2 linked regions of the Macaca fascicularis genome follow. The protein of the gene in region 2 purifies or fractionates together with the protein of the main gene of each other region. This does not show direct contact. Links are inferred from orthologs where the notes say so. Each region holds a gene or a part of one and is shown on either strand. Other genes may lie near its edges.

Region 1 (4,309 bases), on a different chromosome or scaffold from region 2:
CTGTCTCCAAGAGCTCTCTCTCATTGCAAGTCTGGTTTCATTAGAGAAGGTGACTTCACAGGAGAACATATTATATGTAGTTAGTACCATTTTCTTTCTGATTCAGGAAAATTATGAACTTCTAGTACTAGTAAAGTGAATCCTAATATTTGCAACATATAAGTTTGAACTGCCATAACATTTTCCTCAATATGCAAAATATCAAAGAAATTACTGTGATGGTTAATACTGAGTGTCAACTTGATTGAATTGAAGGATGCAAAGTATTGATTCTGGGTGTAGGGGGCGTTGCCAAAGGAGATTAACATTTGAGTCAGTGGGCTGGGAAAGGCAAACCCACCCTTAATCTGGGTGGGCACTATCTAATCAGCTGTCAGCACAGCTAGAATATAAAGCAGGCAGAAAAAAAATGTGAAAAGACTTGACTGGCCTAGCCTCCCAGCCTACATCTTTGTCCTGTACAGGATGCTTCCTGCCCTCAAACACTGGATTCCAAGTTCTTCAGTTTTGGGACTCAGACTGGCTCTCCTTGCTCCTCAGTTTGCTGACAACCTATTGTGGGACCTTGTGATTGTGTGAGTTAATAGTTAATAAACTCCCCTTTACGTGTGTGTGTGTGTATATATATATCCTATTAGTTCTGTCCCTGTAGAGAACCCTTACTAATAAATTACACGATTAAGTACAAATTACTTTTTTTTGAGATGGAGTTTCACTCTGTCACCCAGGCTGGAGTGCAGTGGTGCAGTCTCGGCTCACTGCAACCACCGCCTCCCGGGTTCAAGTGATTCCCCTGCCTCAGTCTCCCGAGTAGCTGGGATTACAGGCACACACCACCACGCCATCATAGCTTTTTGGCTATTCATATATCTTATTTTGTGAAGTGTCCAAATTTTTTGCGAGTTTTTAAGTCCTTTGAATTTATTCTGTATAATACATTGATGGTGGGGCTATCAAGTGTTACCGCTTTGGAAAAGAGGTTGGCAGTTTCTTAAAATTCTTAAAACATACACCTATTATATGATGCAGCCATTCCTCTCCTAGAGATTTACACAAAAGGAATGAAAGTATATGTCCATACAAAGAATTGTACATAAATGTTCACAGCAGGTTTATTTGTAATAGCTAAAAACTGGAAACAACCCAAATGACCATCAATAGATGAAGAGGTAAACAAATTGTGGTATACCCAGAACAATGGACTACTACACTGCAATAAAAAAGGAATAAACTATTGATACATGCATAATCTGGATGAGTATCAAAATAATTATGCTTAGTGAAAAAAGCCACACACACTTCCTTCCACCCCAAGCAGAGTACTCACTATATGTTTCCAATTATTTAAAAATTTCTAGAAAATGCAAACTATAATTACAGAAAGCAGATCAGCAGTTGCCAGGCAAAGAAGAGATTTAAAAAGGGACAGGAGGAAACTTTGAGGGGTGATGGTTTCATGGTTGTTTCCTAGGAAAGAGATGTATTTGTGTATATATAGTCAAAATTTATCAAACTGTACACTTTAAAGCCTATTGTATTCAAGCTCAATAAAGATGAAAAAAACTACAAGAAAAATGATTTAAAGAAACAAAAACCAGACCAAGCAGGGTGGCTCTCGCCTATAATCCCAACACTTTGGGAGGCCGAAGTGGGAGCATCGCTTGAGTCCACGAGTTCAAGAGCAGCCTCGGCAACATAGTGAAACTGTCTCCACAAGAAATAAACAAAAAAATTATGGCTGGGCGTGCTGGCTCACGGCTGTAATCCCAGCACTTTGGGAAGCCGAGGCGGGCGGATCACTTGAGGACAGGAGTTGGAGACCGGCCTGGCCAACATGGTGAAACCCCGTCTCTACTAAAAACACAAAAATTAGCCAGGTGTTGTGGCACGCACCTGTAATCCCACCTACTTGGAAGGCTAAGGCAGGGAGCCGATATCACGCCACTGCATTCCAGCCCGGGCGGCAGAGAGAGACTATGTCTCAAATATATATATTATAAATGTGTATATATATATTAAATAAACAAAAAAAGTAGCCGGGTGCGATGGCAGGAGCCTGTAGTCCCGGCTACTTGGGAGGCTGAGGTGGGAGGATCGCCAGCCTCAGCGAGAGACCCTGTTTCACAAAAAAAAATAAAAACAAAAAACTAACAAAAACACCCTCCAGATTCCCAGTCTCAATGTGACCCCATTTCACCGCTGGGAACCGCCCCTTCCCTCCTTATCCTCCTCCATCTCAAGACTGACACTCATCCCTTCTAATTCGAGGGGAAGGTTGAACCCTAAAAGGTTCACAAACTACTAAGACTCAAAGTACGCCCACTGTATTCCTGGATCCTCACCTCCTGCCACCAACCTACTGTCTACCTTCACATTCGCACAGTTAGCCTGGCAGGAATAGTGACAAGTGCCCCCCATCCGCCGACCATCCCCTCCCGTTCATGTTCCCAAACATTCGTCCACGAAGCGTAATCAGATGGAGCATATCCCACTCCTGAAATACCACTAACGGGCACAGAACCACCAAAAGCTGAGCTCCTCAGTCGGCCCACCCCCGGGCACGCTGGAGTGTGGGGATTCGAATACCCCCCAGTCCAGGTTACCTGCCACCGGCTGGCCGCGCCGGGGACAGTTCAGCCACCGCGGCGGGATCTTGTTGTGAGCCATGTCTTGGGGGCTGCGCAGAGCTGCCCTCCCTCACCAACGTTCGCCGCGCCTTTGCAGCCGCCTCCCCGTGGTCCGGTGCGCACCGGGGTCCGAGACACCCGAATCGCAGCAGTAATCCGAATTCCAGCCGCTCAAATCCGGGTAACGTCAGGGGCAGCGCGCCACTTTCATTCAGGATCAACTCCACCGCTCCAGGAGAACCCACAATGCACTGCAACTTCCGCCCCCGAAGGCCCCGCCCCCTTCTTTCCGAGGTCAGAGGGAAAGAAGAGGAAGCTCTGCGGAAGGATAGCAAAGAGTTAAGGCGGCGACGAATGGGAGGAGCGGTCCGTCTCTCGCCCCGCTCGGCCCCGCCCCTCCCGGTCGCGGTCCCCGGACGCGCACTTGCGCTCCTGGTTTGCCTTTGCATATGTGCAATTGCGTTTGTACCGAACTCCGCAGGACGAAGCGTGTATTTTTTTCCAATCTAGACAACCTAGAGAAACCCAAAAAAGAGGGAAGCCAAGCCCCTTTCCATGCGTTGATTGCCCGTCACTTCCATTAAGGCATCTGTTTTACTGATGAAGGAGGCCTTCTGAGCGTTACCACAGCGCAAGCTTGGCGTCCCAGCTGGATCTAGGTTTGATTTGGTATTAGGGAAAGTTGTTCAAGGGAATAAGTCTTAGGAGAATTCTAAGGGCGTGAGATTGGAGTACCAGAAATGGGGAATTTTTCTTACGGTGAGTACTTACGAGGATCTATGAAGCGTCTGAAATTAATTCCAGAACACTTAGAGTTTTGTTTGTACATTTCTTTATCAAAGTTTCAAAGCATACTGGGGAGTTTGAGAAGGTCCATGTCTCCAAAAAAGTTACTAAATAATGTGTATAATTGACAAAGGCAGGAGTTGCTCAGTGGAGAACCGTTTCGTGGCGGTGTTCTCCTCTGCCTACCAAATAAACAGTCCCTTTTATTTTCCCTTCGAGTTAAGCAGAGGTGCTTGGAAGCATTTTATGAATGCCGTCCTTTAACGAGCCTTTCCTTTGTTACCAGATTAAATTAGTGTTAAATATAAAGCTGGATGATGGCAAATCAATTATAAAGTAGTTTGGCTTTAAACACCAATGCTGTATTGGAACTGCAAGAGCATAAGGCTGCAGGGAATACATTTTTAAAGCTTCGATGGGGAACTTTCTGGGAAACTCAACCCCTTGAATGCCTGGACCCCCTCAGTAAGAGTCCCATCAGTAGAGACAGTCTGACAGCCATCTCTCTGAGGCAGCCTGAGTTAGGTCACACTTCTGGTCTGTCCTGCTGTTGCGTCTGCTCAGAACTGTTAGTGAAAGTGTCAACTCCTCCCCTGACAGAACAAGATAATACCCAGTTTGTTTTAAGGCCATCAGTCTACCCAAATAATCTCCTATTAATTCCCTTTTCTGCTGATAGAGTGTGTACCATGCCCAAAATGGTAAAAAAATAAAACCTTCCATCCCCAGCCCCCTTCAAGGATGGGAAAGGTGAGCCTGATCCTGGAAGAGTATCTTACCTTCCCCTTCTGGGGATGACTCCCCTTGGAGACTCCCCTTCCCACACACACTGTATCTACCCAGTAGCTCAGTTCTAGGCACACAGAGGCTTCATACCACTGGTGAGCAACTATTAT
Region 2 (3,648 bases):
GCTTCCTTTTCAGTGAGGGATTATAAACATGAATTCATGTTTATGAATGGTTCCTGCTCTAGGGGAATTCACTGTTAAGAGAAGGGCAGATAAAAACGATCTCTAATACTTTGAGATAAACATCAGGAACATAAGATCCTGCAGGAACATAAGGGAGAGAGTGATTTTCCCAAGGGGTAACAGCATTTTTTAACAGAACTATTCTAGAAGTGTAGAAGGTAGCCATATATTATGAAAAGGGGCCATGGGTTTCTTTTTCTCTCAAACCTAATTCTTAAAAATTGCTTATAACATTTGTGTGGGTACAAAAATAGATTTGGGGGTACATTATTAATGTTTATTTCTAGACATTTGGCTCTTTTTAACACGTAACAATTCTTAAAATTGAGAGTATAATACTAGCATTATCGAAGTAGGAAGATGATGAGCTGATGCAGGCTAGAGGGCAGTAATTGTCAGTGTACTCTTGAAATCAGTAACTAGTCTATATGTGTCACTACTTAGTAGCATGTCTAGGTCAGGTTTTTGGTGTCATAATCTAGTTCAGACAAGCTAAATGTTAGTGTCTCGTGAACTCCACTTTGCCTTGTGATATGTAACAGTGGGTGAATGTAAAGATGTGAGTAGCTACAGCCATAAAAAAGAACGAGATCCCAGCCTTGGCAGCACGGCGAAACCCCCGTCTCTACCAAAATCATACAGGGCGTGGTGGCGCGTGCCTGCAGTCCAGCTACCTGGCAGGCTGGGGTGGGGGTGGGGGGTCACCTGAGCTCAGGGAGGTCAAGGCTAGTGTGAACTGTATTCATGCCACTACACTCCAGCCTGGGTGACAGATTGAGACCCTGTTTCAAAAAAAAAAATAAAAGAACGAAATCATGTCTTTTGTAGCAACATGGATGGAGCTGGAGGCATTCACTTAAGCAATTAACACAGGAACAAAAATCCAAGTACCTCACATTCTTATAAGTGGGAGTTAAACCTTGAATACATATGGACAGAAGGGAACGACAGACACTGAGGCCTAGTTGAGGGGGTGGATGGTGCGGATTGAAAAACTACCTGTCAGTACTATGCTTATCACTTGGATGACAAAATGGTCTGTTCACCAAACCCTCACAACACCCATTTCCCCTGTATTACAGACCTGCACATGTACCCTGAACCTAAAATAACAGTTCGAAAAAAAGTAGATGTGGGGTAGGAAACCCCTGCATCTCTGCAGGGAGATCATTGTGCATTCAGATGCACAATGAACATTTAGAAGCAAACTTTTGAAGGAGTATTTTCAGCTGCCATTTATGCTTCTCACAAATAGAGTTTGAAACAGCTGAGACACTTCTAAATTCAGAAGTTCATATGCTTCTGGAACATCGAAAGCAACAGAATGAGAGTGCAGAGGATGAACAGGAACTCTCAGAAGTCTTCATGAAAACATTAAACTACACAGCCCGTTTCAGTCGTTTCAAAAACAGAGAGACCATTGCCAGTGTTCGTAGGTGAGTGCTGAAAGAAAGTTTTTATTAATCCAAACCGTTGGACAACTGCATGTGGACTGCTGTCCCCTCCCCCTTTCCCAGGTGTCACCTGTGAATTTAAGTAAAATAATGTTGGGCTGGGCATGGCGACTCACACCTATGCTCCTAGCACTTTGGGACATTGAGGCAGCAGATCACTTGAGGCCAGATGTTCAAGACCAGCCTGGTCAACATAGCAAAAACCTGTCTCTACTAAAAATGCAAAAATTAGCTGGGTGTGATGGTATACACCATGAATCCCAGCTACTCAGGAGGCTGAGGTGGGAGAATCGCTTGCACCTGCAGGCCAAGGTTGCAGTGAGCCGAGATTGCGCCACTGAACTCCAGCCTGGGTAACTTAGAAGACCAAAATTTCAGCCAAGTGTGGTGGCTTACACCTATAATCCACACTTTGCGGGGCTGAGGTGGACCAGTCTCTTGAGGCCAGAAGTTCAAGACCAGCATGGGCAACATGGTGAAACTCCTGTCCCTACAAAAAAAATACAAAAATTAGCCAGGTGTAGTGGCAGGTACCTGTGGTCCTAGTTACTTGGGAGGCTGAAGTGGGAGGATCATGTGAGCCCGGGAGGTTAGGCTTTAGTGAACTGTGATTGTACCACTTTACTCCAGTCTGGGAACAGATTCAAATATGACTCTGTCGTATTTTATATAAGTCCAGTATGTGTGATCCAAATGGTACTGTTAGTGGGGAAGTAAGGTTTTTTCGTTATTTTTTTGTAGCGATGGGGAGACTTACTGTGTTGCCTAGGCTGGTCTCAAACTCCTGGCCTCAATTGATCTCCCACCTTAGCCCCCCAAAATGCTGGGATTGGCCGGGTGCGGTGACTCACGCCTGTAATTCCAGCACTTTGGGAGACCGAGATGGGCAGATCACTTGAGGTCAGGAATTCGAGACCAGCCTGACCAAAATGGTGAAATCTCATCTGTACTAAAAATACAAAAATTAGCTGGGCGTGGTAGCGCACACCTGTAGTCCCAGCTACTTGGGAGCCTGAGAAAGGATAATTGCTTGAACCTGGGAGGTGGAGGTAGTAGTGAGCCAAGATCGTGCCACTGCACTCCAGCCTGGGTGGCAGAGTGAGACTCCATCTTAAAAAAAAAAAAGACTCGATCTCAAAAAAAAAAAAAAAAAAGCGCTTGAATTAGAAGTAAGCCACCATGTCCAGCCTATATATATATGTGTATATATATAATTTTTTTTGATAACAGTATTTGTACATATGTGTGAGGTACACGTGATATTTTGTTACTTAGAATGTGTAATGAGTATGTTAGGGTGTTTAGGGTGTTGATCATTTCTATGTATTAGGAACAGTTCAAGTCTTCTCCCCTAGCTATTTTTATTTTCTGTATTTATTCATTTATTTTAGAGACAGGGTCTCACTATGTTGCCCAGGCTGAGACGTCTTGAACTTCTGGACTCGAGTGATCCTCCTGCCTTGGCCTCCTCCCAAAGTGCTAGGGTTACAGGCATGAGCTGCTAAGCCCGACCTCCTCTACCTTTTTTTTGTTTTGTTTCATTTTGTTTTGAGACAGTCTCACTTCATCACTCAGATTGGAGTGGTGCAATCTTGGCTCACTTCTACCTCTGCCTCCCAGGTTAAAGCAGTTCTCATGCCTCAGCCTCCCATGTAGCTGAGACTACAGACATATACCACCACACCCGGCTGATTTTTTTTTTTTTTTTGAGATGGAGTCTAGTTCTGTCACCCAGGCTAGGGTGCAGTGGCGTGATCTTGGCTCACTGCGACCTCTGCCTCCCGGGTTCAAGTGATCTTGCCTCAGCCTCCTGAGTAAGCTGGGTTTACCGGCGCCCACCACTGCACCCAGCTAATTTTTGTATTTTTAGTAGAGATGAGGTTTCACTGTGTTGGCCAGGCCAGGCTGGTGATCTGCCCGCCTCGGCCTCCCAAAGTGCTGGGATTACAGGCATGAGCCACTGAGCCTGGCCAATTTTTGTATTTTTAGTAGAGACGGGGTTTTGCCGTGGTGCTCAGGCTGGTCTAGAACTCCTCACGTCAAGTGATAGCCCACCTTGGCCTCTCAGAGTGCTAGAATTACAGATGCGAGCCATGACACCTGGCCGTCTAGCTATATTTAAATACTGGCTACA

Evidence for each region. The genes of interacting proteins can lie anywhere in the genome.
Region 1: the proteins of POLR2D (region 2) and RNGTT purify together in Homo sapiens (affinity purification with mass spectrometry; 3 studies listed by BioGRID and IntAct, with this or other methods). This does not show direct contact. The link is inferred for Macaca fascicularis from reciprocal best matches to the Homo sapiens genes POLR2D and RNGTT.

Annotation. Positions count from the first base shown.
Region 1 is NC_088378.1:86,408,501-86,412,809, reverse strand, and holds the start of RNGTT (mRNA-capping enzyme), read right to left. Parts: upstream 2,878-4,309; 5' UTR 2,668-2,877; coding exon 2,604-2,667; intron 1-2,603.
Region 2 is NC_088386.1:3,679,304-3,682,951, forward strand, and holds part of POLR2D (DNA-directed RNA polymerase II subunit RPB4), read left to right. Parts: intron 1-1,315; coding exon 1,316-1,496; intron 1,497-3,648. UniProt on the Homo sapiens protein: Core component of RNA polymerase II (Pol II), a DNA-dependent RNA polymerase which synthesizes mRNA precursors and many functional non-coding RNAs using the four ribonucleoside triphosphates as substrates.